3 linked regions of the Drosophila melanogaster genome follow. The protein of the gene in region 3 interacts with the protein of the main gene of each other region in a pairwise test. Each region holds a gene or a part of one and is shown on either strand. Other genes may lie near its edges. The genes, in order: borr, CG11247 and p130CAS.

Region 1 (5,022 bases), on a different chromosome or scaffold from region 3:
ACGAAATAAGCGTAATAGACGCGTTCTTAAAGTTTCCTATGATAGCTAGCAATTACGGTTTCAATTTGCCCAGTTTGTTGGCCATGTCCACAATTAATCCGAGATTGGCATTCAGTGTCTTCACCTGGTTGAGTGTGTTCTCATCCAGCTGCATCAGTACTTCCCGCTTCACGGTGTTGATCTTGTGCGGTTTCACGGTGATCACGCCGCCCCTGGTGGGAATGTGGACGTCCGCATAGCGATCCGGACGCATCTGGACGGCCAGCGGGCTTCCCGCCTTCGAGAGCACCATCTCTCCGGCGCGGGGCCATCGCACAAAGCTCATGGTGTCGCCACTCAGAGCCCTGTCCACCGAATGCGCCTGAAGCCTCGGTGGCAGGGCATTCTGCGGAGTTCGTGTTCGACCACGACTGATGGACAAACTGCGAGTTGTGGGCGGCTTAATAGCTGGAAAGAAAGTAAAACAAAAATAACAATTACTCTTCTATTGCCGACAGTTAAATTAAATCTCACCTGCCCTCTGAAATTCGGCAAAAGTCTTAAACCCGAGAGCCAAGAATTCTGGCATCTTCATTTGCAGTAGCTGCTTATCAGTCCTACCACGGATCACCTTAATTTGGTTGTCCACCTCTTGCTTGTAGCGCTTGCTCATCTCATCGATCTTCTCCAGAGCCGAATCCATTTTGATTTGGGACAGGCGCACTTTCTCTTCGCGATCAGCCTTCTGGCGCTGGGCCTGACGACGAGCTGTAATCTTGGTGCGAGGCATATTTCTAACGATTTATATATTCCAGTCAACTAATCGCCTAATTCTAACAAAGTCAAAGGGCTCTTTGGTGAACAAGCGATTCAAAACTGTATTCATATCAACGTGCGAAAATACATTTTAAACATTTTTAACATAACATAATTTTATTGGCCACTTTCTGAAATCTGGGAACTTAAAAGCGGTTGCCTCTTTTGCAATTAGCAAAAGAAAGATGTTATTTGAAGGTAGCAGTTTTTGCTAGAGCCATGAAATCCGACCATTTCATCTGCAGCAAACGAGCATCAGTCCTGGCTTGAAGCAAACCCAATTTGTTGTCCACATCCTGCTTGAACAACTTGGCCATCTCATCGACTTTATCCATTGCAGAATTAAATTGGATTCTCACTTTCTCATCTCTTTCGATTCTCCGTCGTTTTGCTTGAAGGCGAGTAATCATCATGGAACGCTTCATTTTTTTTTTTTTGGATTAAGCATGTATTTAAAACATTACATTTAAATCGCCGTACACTTGGATATGAACATGTATTGAAACTTATGCAAATACGATAGATTTTTATGAATAAAGACAAAATACTTGAACTAAATGAGTAAAATGAAAACTGAACTTAAACGAAACGTATTAAAATATATGATATAGCATTATATCTAGATAAGCGTTTGAAATGACAGCTACTTGAACACCGCCTGGCTGGCCTTATTAACAATCATCTGCAAGTTCTCGTGCAGCGTTTTGATCTGGTTAAGGGTGTCCTCGTCCAGGTTCTCCAACAGATTTGACTCCACCTCGTCGGCATCCAGTTTTTTGGGCCGCAAGCTAAGAACTCCGTTCCGAATGGGTATGTTCACATTGGCGAACTTGTCTGGCATTCTATCGTGTGGGAAAAATGGTTTTAACAAATTGGTATCGACACGTAGTATGTGATCAATACTTACACTTGAGCCACCATGGGACTGCCGTATTTGGATAGTGCCACCTCGCCGGGCTTGGGATAGCGCAGGAATGCCATCGGCGGTGTAGTTGGCGATCCGGAGCGCATTTGCTTCTGTTTCAAAGGAGTGCGGTCGGCACTGAAGGCCTTCGCACGCGAGGCCATCGGTGTGCGCAGTTTGCTGCGCGAATTGCGGCTGCTGCTGCTGCTGCTCGAAATTGACGGCGGTTTGGCCGAGTGCAATATGTTGAGATCCCCGCAGGCGGAACGACTGCGCCGCGCTCGACGAGCCCTCGCCGAGTGCAGTGGTCCGGGTGTGCGCATGGCCTTCGTGGACCGCAGCAGGGAGCCTGTGTGGGCGGCCAGGATGCTCCCACCGCTGGCACCGATGCTGCTGTCCTCTGTAAGGTAGCCTAGATACAGTGACCGGCACAGGATGTGGATGTGGGTATATGCATTTTGCGTGCATTGAAATGTGCGGTGCGGAGTTAGAAAGCAAAGTTGAGTTAGTCACAAAGCCGGACACCAGTTAGATTAAAATTAAAAGTGAAAATGGCAACAAGAGGGTATGATGAATACCGAATATACAATGGAATTTGCCAATTTGGCATGTAAAACCGGTATTCATTTGTAATTCGGGTGATGACATCCTTGCCAGCAGATTGGTATAACAGCATACATATATAGGCCAACAAACCTTCGTCATTGCGACTTCCAGTGGCGGAGGGGGCGTGGCCCTCGATGGCGCTGCCACTCATGGACATCGAGGCGAGCAGCTGCGTCTGATCGCTGGCCTTGAAGTCGCTGAAGCGGTCCAGTTCCTCGAAGAGGCGCAGCACTTCGGGCATCTTCAGATTGGCCAGCTCCTTCTGCACCTGGCCGAGCAGTGTCTTCACCTGGTGGTCCACGGCGGAGAGGAACTTGGTCTCCAGCGAATCGATGCTGATAAGGCGGGAATCCATTTTCAGCTCGTACAGGCGCACCTTCTCTTCGCGATTGGCCACCTCGCGGTTGCGTTTGGAGTTCTTTGGTATCTTGGTGCGCGGCATCGTGGCAGCGGCCTTTGTTTACACGTTACAGGGTTTTTGCGAGGAATAACTATTTTCGTAGCAAGCGTCGTCTTTTTGCTATTTCTTTTCGAGTTTGTCCGCTAAAATTCAAGCGTCATGGAACAGTGTTGCCAGATGGCTTTTCATTGCCCAGTTCACGACCGATTGAAAATACTAGAAATATTTTGATGGTGTAAGTGTAAAATGGTAACACTAATGCGCGGTAAATTCAATTAAATAATTCGAACTTAACTGAAGTCACTCCAAAATAACACATTTAAGTATATATCTTCTATATTTATTTATCTATATTTTGAATAATGAGTTTTGAATAATTCCAATGAGTTCTGCAACTAATCTCAATGAACTAGTTCCCTACAACATAGAGATCGATTTTTTTTATATCTTTATTTTTGAAAGGGGAATTCCAACTACCCATTTGTTAATAATGTAACGGTAATAGCATCTTATTATTATAACAAAATACAATATTGGTATATTAGTATTATTGAATAGTAATAATTGGAAAAACTAAAGACTTGCACACTAGAGCGTATAATAACGTAAGTGAAAACTCGAGATATAATTTTGCATCGTATGTGCGGAGGTATCTGAAATGAAAAGCCCCAAAAATTGGAGCCGCAATCCTATTAGTCCGTTTCGAAATCTCGCCCCTGGTCATAAATTGCGCTCTGCTCCACATTGTTGGATGTTTGCTATCTGTCTCTGCTAGTTGCACTTTGGCTGCCACAATGGCAGGATTCTAATAAGCGTGGGTGGCTATGGGTGTGCGAATGGCCCACAAATCAAAAGCATTTTTGTCACCATTTGGGTGGCTTCCTTGTGGAGGGGCGTGGCACTGGCCGCCCTTATTTCTGCACAGAACGTGGACACGTCATGTGTGTAAGGCATTTTGAAATACCAAGCACCGCTTTCTGGGCACTTGATGGAAACCCCATATGGATTGGCCTGGTTTTGTACTTAAGGGAAAATATTTTAATTTTCATTACCCAATAATCTTAATGATCCTCTTGGCTGAGAAAACAGTTATGTACTTCATTTTTGGGCTAGTAAAATAAAAAAGACAGTAGGCTCATAACTTTATTAAAAGCTGTCGGTAAATTGCCGAGATGCAAAATGAAAATAACTTAATTTATTATTTTCGCATTCGCATCAATCCCACTGCTCGGCTTGACATATGAACAAATGGGTGTTGAAACAATTTTCATTGTACATTTCCTTGTTGTATACATTAACGCAATCGAACTTATTGCCCCTTTCTTCTTTCTTCCACTTAAAGAACGGCGGCGATCTGCCGGTGAGTGATGATGCAAAAAGGCCGTTCTTGAACATAGCATTCATATCTATCCAAAAGACGCCGGCCGGCGCTCTTGAGAAGATCTCATTAAACTCCTGCTCATCCCTGATGGTGGCAATGTGACCGCCCAATTGACGACAGGTGTTTGAGGCGCCAAACCAATTTTGTTTGTTTTCCTTCTCAATGTAGAAGCGTCTTGTGCCCATTCTCTGGAAAAGCGCCGGATTAATCCTGTGCGAGATTCGTAGTTTCTCGAGAGTCTCCACACTCTGGTTGCCCATTATGGTCTGCAGCTCGTTCAGTGCGTATGCCAACTTGCTTTGCATGGCCATCAATCGTTCTTCTATCGATCTTTCGATCCTCACTATTTTCTGTTGCATTTCACTTTCCTTCAGCGCAATGAATGTGAACCATTGTTGTTGATTTATAGCCACTTGATCAATTAGCAGCGGATTTTCCGTTTTGTTAGCGAGAACATCACGAGAAGCCCAGGCTAGAATGACGCATATAAAACAATACTTGAACATGTTACTATGTATGACCTGCTAGTCCCAATCCTTAAAACGGACTGTTTCTGGATGTTAACATCTGTATAATGAAATAACAATCCGCATCTAAAAGCATATTAAAGCGTTGAAAACGGTTTACAACGTCTGGCAAATACATAGGTTATTCGTTCTAAGCAGGTGTATAACTAATAAAATTTATTAATACAATTTATGGCTTACCAATTAGGAAAATCTTTCTTGATACCGTACGTTCACCGCACTTTTATGATAGTCGCATAATTTCGGCCTTTTCTTAATTAAGTTGATGGGCTAGAAGTTTTAATTGGCTTGATGCTCGTTCTTGCCTTAAGCCACAAAGTGGATGAACCTAAAGGTGGGTGGGCTCTACCAAACGTCATTACCAATCGATGGCTGTGGGGAAAAGGGATATATCCGAGGCATTCATCCA
Region 2 (8,019 bases), about 22 Mb from region 3:
GCGCCATGGCAGCGGCAGCTGCTGGAAATGGCGAGACTAAATCTGTGGAAGAAGCTGAAGGAGCTGGAGTGCCTGACTTGCAGTTGCCACGGTCGTGGAGAAGCAGGAGGACATAGAAGTGGCAGTGGGCGGTGGGCGGTGGTTGCTGGTTGGTGGGAGCAGGAGTAACCGAGTTAGCTGAGATTGCAAAAAGGGCAACCACTGAACACGCAACGGCCAGAACAAATGTAGACATTAAGCTGCTTCCCGGGACAAGAAATCGAGATCGGGAGCGGGAACGGCATGGGGTGAGATGGGATGGCATACCGGCGGAGATTACATCAGCAGCTTCAGGTGACAGACACGCAATGGTATGGCCGGAGGAAAATCCCAGCCTGCTACCCAAGCGGGGTATCATAAAATCATAACTATATTTGACACATAAAATTGTACATACATCTCGTGGCCAAGCAAATCCTTTGGGTTGACACTAACGGTCGCGTCAATAAATTCGCCGTGCAAATTTCATTAATTGCTCCGGGTGGGTGGAAGGTGGCGGACCGGAGGAAGTGGCGCGGGCAGGTGCCACAGCGCCTGCAGATGCCACCGCTGCTCAGAGAGCTCGGTTCGCATGCAGTGCGGGGCTTGCCATAAAAAATATTGGCCACCTTAATGTAAGTGGCTTATAAATTTGTGCACAAGCCCAGACCATTTATGGCCAACGGGCAGGGACCCATGGGGCACTTGTACCTAACTGTTTATGTGGTTAGATGCCAGCCCGGTTGGGTGTGCCTGGGTGTTTCTGTGCGACTCGTTGCTCTTTTGGCCGCATTCAAATATGGAATGCAGCTTCCAGCCGGACTTGAAATTCCATAGATGAGCCTCAAAGGTCAAAGGCACGCAAGCCAGGAGATGCAGAAAATTGATTGATTCAAGCCGTGTCGCTTCCTAAGATGCTAGTCGAGATCCTCAACTTCCAGACACCAGCTACAGCAAGATCGAAAGTTGACTGAAATAATATGTAAGGCCTTTGCCATTTGTTGTAGACGGCCAAAATCCTTTTGGAATAAACATAGAAACTTTCAATAATAATAATAAAAACCAAAATTATTAAATTAATATTAATATATTCAAAAGTGTGGGAGCAGCTTTGTGGGATAGTGGACGTGCTCACTCTTAGTTAAGGGAATGTGTTCTTTTTATCATTCGTTCTCATAAACTTTCTCTAACTCTTACGTAAGCTCGCAGACTTACGAAATCTTAAAAATAAGCGAAAATAATACTTGCTGCAAATTGTTTCATGATTAAAAAGTCCGAAAAACTAATATCCAGTGTTGGGTTGTAGTCACAAATAATATTTATTATTCATTTCATTTTTTCACTTGCGTATTTTGATTTGCATTTCAGTTGTACACTTCAGATTTTGCACTTTTGTTGGAAAAGACAAATGGCAACTAAATGCATTAAGCTTATTAATTTTACAAGCATGGCCACAATGAGTTGTATTGTACTTGAGCTGTTATAGATTCACTCCGGGACAATCTGTTGCTCTGGCAAGACTAAGCATACAAAAATATTTCAGGTTTCAATCGTGTTATGCCTATTATTTTATAAATTATTGCATCGAAATTCGTTCTTAAACTAATTTCCTTTAATAGGGAAATTATTATGACAACACTAACTCATACATTCTTCAAATTATACTTTTTGGTAGCAGCAAAATTGGGATTAAGGGTAGTAATTCATTAAAATGACCTGTACTACAAAGTATATATCTTTGGGATAAATTATTTGGTTGGGTTTCGTTCTGCAACTTTGGGTTACTAAACACTAAACTAAATGGCAAGAACTAGTTCTACAAATCCTTCTTCTATGGCACACTCGCATTTGGCGTTGGCTATCAACTCCTGGATTCTACTTCTGTTTCATATACATGGTAGCAATTTTCTCAAGAATCGTGTCTATAGACAACAATTCGTCGCTGAATTTCTGCATAGTGGGGGCTGGCACAATCCACTTAAGAAATTCCTCCACATTTAGCCGGAGTCTGGCCAATGGGGTCATCGTGGCGTCGTCATGGGATTGTCGCTGAGCCAGCTTCAAGGATGCAATGATAACGTTATCGATTAGACGCTTCTCGTAGCCCAACTGGCGCAGCTTTTGAGCGGAGCTAATTTTCTTCAGTACCACTGCCATGTTAAATCTTAAGACAGAGAGAATTTGCGCATCTTCAGACTGATTGCCACTGGGTTTGTCCCCGTCAACTGGACACTTGGCGCAGTGCTCAACATGCGACTGCAGCTCCACCTTGATCTTAAAGAAATCGTGGCAGCCTTCGCACATGTAGGGCTTTTGCTGTTTGTGTATCTTCTTCATGTGGTTCTTTAGGTGCGCCAGCTGAGAAAAGGCTACTTCGTCTTCGCACAGCTGGCAGCGAAAGGGTTTTTCCCCCGTATGCTTTCGGATGTGCAGTTTTAGTACGCTTGAATGGGCAAAGGTCTGGTGGCAGATCTGATGGAAGTAGAAACATAATTTACGGCTGCATGCAAGCTAACACCCTTTCAACTTACCCTACACTGATAGGGGCGCTCTCCCGTGTGCATTCGCATATGGACATTGTACTGGCTTTTCTGGGTGAAATATGTGTTGCACACCTCGCAGACGTGGGTCTTAACAGCGGTGTGCCTCTGCATGTGAGTGGCCAAATCCTCGTCCGGCTCGATCATCTTATGGCATATCTCGCACTCAAATTGCGTCAGCTTGTGGTGCTCCTGGTTTATGTGCGCTCGCAGGGCCAGCTCGTTGGCGAATTGGTTCTCACAGATGCTGCACCGGTGCTCCATGCCCTGCTCGTGTCGCTCCATGTGCACCCGTAAATTGGCGTTGGTTGAGAAGCTGGCCGAGCACTTAGTGCAGTTGAACTGCTGGATACTCGTCTTGTGGTGAGAAACCATGTGCTGTTGCAGCTGCAATATAAATGATAATATATATTAGGAACACCAATGGTTAAGACCTATAAAAACAAAAGCCTAATAGAAAGTTCATTATTAAATACACTTATTTATATTTAATTATTATAATAAATATTATTATTTAAGTTTATAATAAATCAAATTATGAGAAAAATATAAAATTAATTGTTAAATCTCAGTTAAAAATGGAATGTCGTATTACTCACTTGACCTCCTCGGGCGAATTTTTTGTCGCAGAGGTCGCAAGGATAGGGCTTCTCGCCAGAGTGGAGGCGCATGTGGAGCCGCAGGCGCTCCTTGAGGGCGAATGATTTTGGGCACTGGGAACAAACGAACTGTTTCCGATGCTCGTGGGCGGTGGTGATATGATTTTTCAGGTTGACCGCCTGGCGGTAGCTCTTGCCACAATCCTTGCACTTGTGCGGTCGTTCGTCCGAGTGGATAAGCATGTGGCGCTGCAGATCCGTCTTGCCACCGAACTCTTTGGAGCATTGACTGCAGACATGGTGCTTGCGTTTCACCGGTTCGCCCTTTCGGGCAGACTTCTTAAGCTGCGGTTGCACGTAATCATCATCCTTTGAGTCCTGCTCTCCGCCGTCGTCCTCCTCCTCGTCCACACAAGCATCGCGCAGACTTGCCAAGCTGCTCTTCCTCCTTTTGATCGCAAGCGTAGGGCCTGGTGAGGATTCCCTCGCCGCCGGCGGCGAAGACAGCGATATGCCGCTGTCTGTGAGCAGAGAGACGGCATCCTCCTTGGACACACTACGACGGCTGCGTACCATTTGTTTGGTTTTTATTATTTGGATTCGTAACTAAATTTCTGGGGACCGCTTCCTGGGAAACACCGGCACCTGCTGCGTTTGTCTTTACTTCTAGGGTTAATGTTCTACGTATGTAATTTAGGGTATTCGTATTTTTTGGTTCGATTGCTACTTCTAGGATAGTTCCCATTCACCTTTGGTTTGGATTAGTTCAGATGGGCTGCAAAAAAAGTTAAGAGCTGTTTTAATTCTCCACTCGCCGAGCGCCACGTTCCGAAGCAGACGGAGAATCAAAAACACAGACAGAAATAGTAACCGCAAGTGAAGCCGAAACAGAAACAAGAAGAGAAACAGCAACGGAACAGAAACTCCAGCTGTGTCAACAGTGATAAGACCTATGCACAGGAAAAATATTACCAAAATTGGTGGATTTGCATATTTAGGGGCTTCGAAAAGCATGGCACTTTTTACGTTAATGCAATAGTTCTTACTATTTTTGCAGTGTTGTCGAAATCACTTGAGATTTTTAGACGTTGTTTATCATAATTAATTAATTAATTGCAATTCATTGGCTATCCAATTAGAAAATATATTCGTTTCTTTACAAATCTAGTTAACAACGGAAGGTTGTGGACTGTTTTTCACGGTGTACAGAGCTAGGAGCCCAAGTCTTGAAGTGGGTCGCATTATCAATTGACATTTCCAGCGAACGTAAGCTTCCAAAAAAAATTCTTAGTTTGTTGTCTTAATCTTTTGTTTGGGCGGGAGCGAGATGGAGAAACCGCCTGATAAGATCCCGAGGAAGGCAACAACTGATAAGCAATCCACCGCTTTCACTAAAATCACGGTAGAGCTATAAAAAGATATCGAGATAAAGCTGTGCAACCTGAGCGTTTTCGATCCCGCGGCGTCTGTTCTCCGAGGCGGCGGAGTTTCCAATGAAAAGCGAGAACACTGAAAATGCAACTGCAAGAGAGCGATTACGATGACCCTGGGCTGGGACGAACATCTGGCAAGCAGATTGGGAACCCTCCGATTCCGATTCCAGTGCCAAGCAACCCCCTCCCCCTGCGGAGGGTTAATGGTTCATTAGAGCCGCACCCGCAGAAGCTGAAAACTAACTCACTTTAGCAGCACAACGGCCCTCGACCAAACTGTTGAAAAAGCGAATTTAAGCTAGAATCCGCAGCTGGGAATCGAAATTGAAAGAGAACAGGGCAAAAAGCACGAACGACAGCGAAAATCACACACAAAAAGCGAAAATAAAGAAGTGAATACATAACAGCAGTTTTGTAATGCTAAATAGGCGGGGTTATGGGGGTGGGTAAGGGTTAAGGCGGCGGCGGTCGCTGGATGAGGGTAGGGGCCGTTGAAGTCTTTCGTATTCGGGGCACAAAACTCGACGACTGTGTAGTTTTCGGGGTCTTGCAACCGATTGTTAGTAATTAATGAACCAGCACCACAGCACTCATATACGTAAAGCAATCCATTATACACATATGCTACACATTTGGCCCAGGGGCTCCACATTCAACACCAACACCAAAGCCCCACCGGGCGTGGACTTACCTTCGCAAAAAGCAGGAGTCGCTAGGCTAAGGGCCTTCGATCCACAGGAAACTTAGCATCACCCCGAATGGGACACACCTGGACTTCCTATGCATTCCGCGTCCGACTATGAGTTCGCTTCTTATTTGTTTTTAATTTCGACACCACGAGCTGTGTGTACATACTTTTTGCAATCCGCTAGGTGGCAGTCCGACTGGCTCCTCAAGGTGTATCCATCGTGCTGCCTGCGGCTTAACCTTTGTGGGACTTTGCGGGTTTGCCGATTCTAAGCCAATACTGCGTTTTGTCCAGCAAAATAAATAACAGTTTTCGGTGGTTTTTCGATGTTGTTCTTAATGTTAGTGATGTGTATTCACCGATAGACGGTCACACTGGGACTCTCTGTCTGCGCGGCCACAGATGGGAGCGTGATGCACAGTCACTAGTTAGAGAAAATCCAATAACGTGTAGGTTGCGGCGCAATAAGTTATAAATAAGTTAAAAATCACATTGCGCAGTATCACTGCAATATTTATTGAAATTTCAGTAAGAACAAAGTGAGGCACACTTTGTTGAACGTGACTTCTTTTACACACTGAAATCACAGCCTGCTGAACGTGACCACTTTGCTCACTGAAATCGCAGACGTGTGGCAACACTCAAGCCGCCAGAAAGATCTGGCATCTCTCATACTTAACACGCGCATGCAAAATATTTAAGAAATAAATATTAGTCGCTAACAGTTTAAATATAATAAAATTCTGCTGATATAAACCCAGTTCATAAAAGAACACGCATTTACCTCCGCATATAAGATCAAATACGTATAAAATCTAATTAGCCGACTCAAGGTAAGGCGTGCGTTTTTGGAGCTCCACTAAACTGACTTCAAAGCAATAACTCATCAAATACTACATTTCAGTTAAAATGGCTGGAGTACTCTTTGAGGACATCTTCAACGTAAAGGACATGGATCCGGAGGGCAAAAAGTTCGACCGTGTATCCCGCCTGCACTGCGAGTCCGAGTCGTTTAAGATGGACCTCATCCTGGACATCAACTCGTGGCTATACCCCATGGAGCTGGGCGACAAGTTCCGCCTGGTTTTGGCCACCACCCTGCGCGAGGATGGTTGCCCGGACAGCGGGGAGTACAATCCAATGGAGCACGAGGGAACGCGGGCGGACAGCTTTGAGTACGTGATGTACGGCAAGATCTACAGGATCGAGGGCGACGAAGCACACAATGAGGCCTCCCGGCTCTCCGCCTACGTGTCATTCGGCGGCTTGCTGATGCGACTTCAGGGTGACGCCAACAATCTTCATGGCTTCGAGGTGGACCAGCACATGTACCTGCTGATGAAGCGGCTGGCCTTCTGAATTTTCTACCTAATTATTTTCGATCGCAAATTAGACATAGACAACAAACTTTATTTACAGTGTATTCATGACATTGCTTGGAGTGCTGAAAGAAGTAGTCTATTGCCTGGATGGGCGTCTGAAAGGCGCATTGACTATCAGGCGAGATGGCCGTGGGCGAAAAGGAATGTGGCGATCCACGAAGGGCAAAGCCTGCGGAGTCGATGGGAACACTGGAGTAGGCCTAATAGCATTCACAATCTTGACCGCATCTGGCCGACGACGAACCGTAAGCTTAGCCGGCCGTCGCTGCGGAGTCCGCAGAACCGGACGCTGCGGGCGGAAGGCAGAAAGTCGGTTCAGAAGCGGCAGAACATACTGAGCCTGGGGTGGTAGCGGCAGACTTGCCAAATTAATTATAGCTGCGCTTTGTGGCAATGTGTTGGAGCTGTCATCATTGGCTGGCTGGTCTGGAGGTCCGTAGGTCTGATCGGGAGGTCCATAAATTTGGTCCGGTGGGCCGTAGACCTCAGCTGGCGCTTCCACCAAAGACGGTGGTCCGTATGTTTCAGGTGGAGGGCCATATGTATCCTCCGGTTGAGGAAATTCAACCGCCTCCTCCGTTGGCAGGTCGAATGGCGGATCGGGGACCAGGCCTGCTGGTGGATATGGGGCTTGTTCCTGTCTTTGCAGAAACCTTCCCGCCGCGGGTCCTGGGAACCTCAGATGACTGCCTTCAATTCCATTCAGGCAAAGAATGGAACAAAGCGCAAAGGTGACCAGAGAAGCACTTGGATAACCGGACATTGTGGTGTGCTGACATGAACTGCTGCATGGGCGGCTAAGTGGCGCCTATAAATACCCCCTAGGAATGCCCTTGGGAACTGCCCAATTCAAACGCCCGAAGAAACCTCGAGGCCGATGACTTATAAGCCAGGTCCAACGATACGTGCCCATGGAGGTGGTGACTAAGGCGCGTGTAAGTACTGGCTGTTATGAAAATGTGTGGTTAGATTTCTTTAAAAGGGAGTGCTTATACAAAATAATTGTATATTATTTTTACACAGGAATAAAAAAAATAATAAATATAACGCTTTCCTATTAGTTTCAGTATGGATTTCATTTTAAATTGAATTTTGTAAGTAATATTTTGTAAATATATTTTCTGTGTACGGTGAGTGCATGATATCGTTAGAATAGATTCCAGCCCTGTATCAAAGACACTAGAATAATTATTCTAGAGTCTTTGCCTGTATGATATTTCCTTAAGTCTGACGCAGTGACGTATTTGCTTACGCTAAAGTTTTAAAGTCTACCAACTGCGACGCAGGATTAGACGCTGAGGAACGGGCCTCTGGGAACGCCGTCCTTGCGGAAATCGCTGGTAGAGTCGGGCGGACTGG
Region 3 (5,998 bases):
TTTACGAAAATACACATGTGCACATAGGTCATCAGATGAGAAGAGAATCAAATATGGAAGTTCTCAGATATCTCACTGATGCATTCTAAAAGAATTTATCATACATTTGACCTATGTTATAGAATTGTTGCACAAAAGATTAAAATTTAATTCCTTAGCTTTGAAGGCTAATCAAGTTTTTGAGCATAATTGAATGAAAATGATTTGAGAACGGTTTACCCCACTTCACCAGAACACTCGAAAAGTCTTAGCGCCCGAGCTGCTAAGTTCAATATGTCGAGACCAAATTAGTCTGATAAATTTACGAATTATTTCCGCAGTCTACTTCCCAGCGTTGCTTAATTCAAAACATTGTGTTTAGGTTTTTGGAAAATTTATGAATCTAACATATTTGGTGTGTTCTCTTTGTCCATCATCTCTCTCCAGCGACCCCTGCTCCTCCAGTTTATAAGGTCAAAGCGTGATCTAAGACAATGCAGTTACCAAACCTGAAGAAACGTCAAATTGAAATACGGGGCCAAACGTGGGCGACCCCGAAACCAAAAAGATTCCGACCAAATAGCCCAATTGATCTGCAATGAGATATAAACGACGCCATCTGATATATTTGGATTAATGGGTCAGCAATAAAGGCAGAATTTGGGATGTGAAAAATTCATAGTATTCATAGATCGATGATAATCTCAAAATGACGATGCTTTCGGTTTAAGACATACACATTAAGTTTATCGGAATTTACTCAATACGTATATACAGCCTATCCAAAAATACACATTTTCCCCACCTCTAGAAACTTCTCAATAAATCTCGGCTGCTCTGCATTTCCATAATTTAAGAGCAATTTATTGAATGCCGCAACGCTTTAGTCTGCCCAGGAAAAGCTGTCCCCAAACTGCATAAATTATTTTAAGTTCAGAGGAGTGGGAAACCGGGCGACTAGAATGAGTGGATATATCTCTTCGAGACACCAATAATCATATACATATTTGCCATGTGCAGCACGAATGTTGCAAAAGAAGATATATCCAGTGCTGGGACTGGAAAAATATTTACGTCAACAGGGTTAAGTGATTTTTGAAACCGCGTGTGATTTCATGATTTTTCTTGGACTTGCCAATTTAAGTCCTATAAAACTTAAGGAGTTATTTAATCAAAAACCATTTTCGCATGAAAACGTAGTTCTTAAAACTGAGGATGCACAATGTTATTTTTGTGTGCATATAACAGATAGTTTCGCTACCGTCACGTTACCAAAGAATATGTCTTAGCAGGGAAAAGAACGCGGTGAATAAAGCCACCGCTGGAAACACACAAATAATTATACTCATTCTCAGACAACAAATTGAGGAATTTTCAACACGTACACTTAAATTCTTCACTTTTCAGCGCACGTTTTTCCCGGCTTTCCACTTTCTTTATTGTTGTTTATTCTGTGTTGGTTATAGATACTGTCTTTTCTTTTTGTGCTGCTTTTAACCGCCGCTGGATTAACGATTGATGCATAATGGCAGAGCTCATAATTTAAATGCAAGAACAAAATATGTTGGCGCCTATGACGGCCACCAGTGAACTAACTGTGAACTACTGCGAACTCAAACTCTTCCTCTGTGCATTTCAATTCCCAGCCACGAATGAAGTGGTTCCGAGGCTCAATGACCGGTCCGCTTCACCAGCTAAAAGCACTTTGGCTCAACTTGCCAATTGTCATTGAATAAATTCATAAATCATTAGAGCGCCGCTTACAAAATCCGTGGTACACAATTCTCCAAAGTGCCATTTGTAATAATAAAATGTGCCAGCAAAAATTTTAAATTGTGTACAGGCAGCCACAGTAGCCAGATAAAAGACATCAAAACGTTGATTAGGGGCTTTTTGCAATTTAAATATATATTAATATATATCAATATCGTCATAAAATGATTTAGAATTACGAACTTCTGCTTTAACAGTTTTTTTTTGGGGCCATTTTCAATGCATCCCATTATCATGACAGATCAGATCAGAAGAATCTTCCCTTCCTTTGTACTTGACAAAACATTGTTCGCGGCTCGTCAGGACACCAAAGATTGATTAAACCCTCCAGATGTTTCCGAGCAACTTGCTCTTGGAGCACGGCACTCGGAAAAATTCAGCAAAAAGTGCTCTCAGTAACCAAACATGTTGCTTAAGGAAAAGAACGAAGCGTGGTTCGGTGGCGGGAAAAAGAACAGAGAACAACCACCCCGGTGAGGTTTAATTGCGGAAAGTTCATACCCCCGGCAAGGTCGATAGCAGTTCTCATATTGGCATTGAAAAATCGTATAGCAACTTTCGCGAGCAAATAAAATTGAAAGCATACATACATACATATATACAAGGGTAGAACTGACAGCGAAATCAAAAGATACATTTCTGAATCGGTAGCTGGTCAAGTACCACATCATTGAAGTTGGCAGCTTAACTTTAGCACCTCACTTAAGCATCCAATGCCTCCCCAGGCGAATTTGTTTCACATCATGGAGCGTCTGATGAATGACGCGACGCACAGAAGCCACCACCACCTGACGACCCTTACTCTCCACGGGAATCAGTCAGCCAGCAGCCTTAGCCAGATCCCTGACTTTTGCTTCGTCACGACTCGAGGTCCACCCTGCCCTATCTTCCTGCCGAATATGTTTACATAACATGGGCACATCGCCCGATTCTCTCTGCACGCATGCGGCCTCCATGAAGCTGCATTTAGGCCCGATGGTCCTGTAGCCATTTAGCCACTTAGCCGTCCCAGCTTGGTTAGCCGGCAGAAACAGTATTACAGCGTTAGTTTACGTTACGCACCCTGCGTATCCATAATCTGTATGTATCTGTGTAGCTTCGCTGAGTAAAATTCGTTTTTGCACTCGCGTCGAACCAGGCAATGGCGTGTGGAAGAGGGTCGTTCGATGAATTTGGCTGTAACAGATTTTACTTGCCGAAATGTAGTAAATGTAAAAAATAGTAAGAGTTTGTTACACCTGTACAGAGCACAAAAGTTTTTAACGGAACGATTTGAGATACCGAAAAACAATATGAATGATTTGAATTATCCATGGACAAATATATAAATCCAGTTTCCCCACCGATTAAGCGCACCTAGTTGGCAGTCAATATCAATTCCTGTCAAATAGGTTTACCTCCAATAAGCATCGCGATCACATCGCTTTACTTCGATCCACTTCCTCGGATACTATCCATTTAATTTATAACATTCTGGACGTACCTGCGCACTTTTTGCCCGATGCAGTGTGCCGCCCGTGATGGAGTTCGCCGTGGTCGTCTTGGCGTGCATTGCCACTGAATTTATAACGTACTGCGGCGGCTGTTGCGGTTCTTTCAGCTGTCGCTGCTGATGCTTGGCCAAAACCGATGAGGTTTGGGATTCGGGCAGAGTATGGTACGTTGCAACATTACTAATTGAGTTTTCTGGTACTCGGTTTTCACTTTGACACTCCATTAATTGTTAGCTCTTGTTAGGTTAGATGCCTTTTAGATTTTGATGCTGCCGCAAGTTTTTTTCATATCAGGAGCGTACCAAAAAATAAGCAGACCTACATTGAGAAATCGAATCTCTACACATTGGAATACATCCCAAACAAAAGCACGATTACGGACGCGAGTGTGAACCAGGTTTGCATGGCTGGCGACTCCGAATCTAACTAACTCAACCATATGCAACCTCAAAAGGCAGCCGGTCGTCCTTCGCCCACAGAGGGTGGCTTGGTTGACAACTTTATTTCGGTATTATCTAACGAGCAGGCGCAGGGGGAGCTCGGTAAAAAACGCTCACGGAAACGGAGAGTAAGAGAGTGCTCCTGTTAAGTAGCACAAAGCCCTTTCGTTACCGTACGGTAAAAATTCGTGGTATTCGGAGTTTTTAAACTTCAAATTTAATATTACACAATATTAATTTTTTAAATTGATTTCCAAGCATTTCAGTTTTTGATTACATTTTAAATCTTTAAAGAAAGATAAGTACACTATGAAACTAATGTTTGGTAAAAAAAAGTTATATCAGCAGTTAAAACATATGTATTACCAGAAACCAGTGCCCTCAAAATAATAAAATAACAAAATACTCATTAAAAATTTGGACGAAATCAAGAGGAGTACATAACAAAATACAAGTCATGTCCGCGTCAGTAAGAAATACAGTCACTAGCCAAGAAAATGGGAGTATCTTTAAAGTAAGTAATTACTGGAAGATCTAATTTGCACTTCTTACATAGAACACCGTTCCCCACGCGTCAAAAAGCGGTCCAGTAACTTAGACAACGAACTCAAAAAGAAGTCCGTGGTGGTTAATCAGACACAAGCCGAAGAGTCTAAGGCTAAGAAGAAAGATACTACGCACTATTACAGTGTGGAAACACTTGCCGACCTGCAGTATCGATCTCAGATAAAGGTGAACCCAAAGGACTTACAAACTCACCACCACTAATTGCAAACTCCCCTTAGGTTTTGGAAAAGATCTATGGCGAGGAGGTTGATATGACACCTAAGTCGATCCAAGATGACACCTATGTGGAGCAGTTCATGAAGTACAACCTAAATGTCATGCACCAAATGACTAACTTCACTACAATGGTAGCGAAGAGCACGACCAGATCCCGCACGCGGTCTAGTGTTCGGGCCGGAATAGGCGGCAATAAGCAGTCCATTGACGACCTGATGAACGGGGTAAGTTTATATAAACTTTTTTGTATCATCCCAGCGGGAATCGTCATTCTCCACTAGATACTTTATGAAACTATTAACTGGGAACCGTACAGCACTGTTGAGGCTCTCGAAGAGGCGTACGAGCCAAAGCCGTATACCAAGTCCTTTTTAAAGATCACCTTACGCAAGTCTGACTTCTTCGAAATTCACAGCCAGACGCAGACGACGGTGGCCAAGGGATCGCCCGAGGGCGACGATGCGGAGCGAGACAACCGAAACTACGAGTATCTGACAATAGGGAAAGGCAAAATTCGCCGGCGCTCAGACAATGACGCTCAGACAGATACTCTGCTCTTCACCACTCGGGCAGTCAACACCATCCTCATAACCAAGGCCACCGTCAGCTCTTACGTTTCCAACTTTGAGATGTACGACACGCTGAACAATATCACCAAGGAGTTCGCAACAGCCACTATGAGTTCGGTAAAGGACCTGACCTCGGCTCTAGCGCAGACGGAGGATGCGGATACCTTTGAGGACGACGAGGCCGTTGCCGAAAAAGACAAGGTCAGCAGCCAGATAGAGCGCCTGTTCCGGAGCCCCGAGTTTCGCAACGCCATCATGTACATGGGCCGCACGCTCTCGAGCAACACAAACGAGGCGGGGTTACGACGCTTCCGTAACTTTGACCAGGTGGAACGCTGGAACGCGGAGGCCGAGTACGTCTACTCGATGAACTTGCTCTTTCGGCTGGTACCGGAGCCCAGCAAAGACGAGCGCAAGGCCGTAAGCGACATTGATTTCTGCCGCAGCAATGGTGACATCCTGGCTGTAGCCTACGGACTGTACTCATTTTCCTCACAGCACGTACCGACCTCCGGCAGCGTTTTCCTGTGGAGCATTAAAAATCCAGGCGAGCCGGAGCGCGCATACTACTACGATGTGCCAGTAACGGCAATAAACTTCTCGCCATTCTTGCCATCCTTGCTCGCCATTGGTCTGTACGACGGCAGCGTGGAAGTGCGAGATGTGAGCAGTTTGCAGGACACACCCGTTGCGGTCTCGCAGCGCAGCACTTCGCCAGGCTCCTCGCCGGTGGTTGCCATCCGCTGGATCAAACAAGTTTCAGACGACGATCATGAAACAGACATCGATCCATTCCTGAGCCTCTCCCAGGATGGCTCGGTCACCCGCTTCCGGATTATCAAAAGTCCCTTCCTGCTTGGTTTTACCCAAATGATTCTGGAGCGAGTCGAGGGGCATCCTGAGGGCATTTTCGTTCACCCATCGTCGCGTATCCCCTGCGAGTCTAACCGCCACCCGCAAG

The links.
Region 1: the proteins of p130CAS (region 3) and borr interact in a two-hybrid assay, tested with the Drosophila melanogaster proteins (one large-scale study listed by BioGRID).
Region 2: the proteins of p130CAS (region 3) and CG11247 interact in a two-hybrid assay, tested with the Drosophila melanogaster proteins (one large-scale study listed by BioGRID).

The regions. Positions count from the first base shown.
Region 1 is NT_033779.5:9,250,240-9,255,261, forward strand, and holds borr (borealin-related), read right to left. Parts: upstream 2,880-5,022; 5' UTR 2,748-2,879; coding exon 2,396-2,747; intron 2,112-2,395; coding exon 1,703-2,111; intron 1,638-1,702; coding exon 1,439-1,637; 3' UTR 1,233-1,438; downstream 1-1,232. Other genes in the region: aust (australin), read right to left, coding at 53-447, 514-769; lectin-30A, read right to left, coding at 3,921-4,592. UniProt on the Drosophila melanogaster protein: Component of the chromosomal passenger complex (CPC), a complex that acts as a key regulator of embryonic mitosis.
Region 2 is NT_037436.4:21,723,006-21,731,024, forward strand, and holds CG11247 (uncharacterized protein), read right to left. Parts: upstream 5,802-8,019; 5' UTR 5,446-5,801; exon of another isoform or gene 5,388-5,445; 5' UTR 5,282-5,387; intron 3,933-5,281; 5' UTR 3,734-3,932; coding exon 3,158-3,733; intron 2,946-3,157; coding exon 2,550-2,945; intron 2,491-2,549; coding exon 1,894-2,490; 3' UTR 1,321-1,893; downstream 1-1,320. Other genes in the region: Polr2H (RNA polymerase II, I and III subunit H), read left to right, coding at 6,188-6,637; CG14570 (uncharacterized protein), read right to left, coding at 6,737-7,423; CG14569 (uncharacterized protein), read right to left, coding at 7,929-8,019.
Region 3 is NT_037436.4:150,542-156,539, reverse strand, and holds the start of p130CAS (p130CAS), read right to left. Parts: upstream 3,657-5,998; 5' UTR 3,470-3,656; coding exon 3,236-3,469; intron 1-3,235. Other genes in the region: Dic61B (dynein intermediate chain at 61B), read left to right, coding at 4,143-4,199, 4,268-4,417, 4,471-4,692, 4,750-5,998.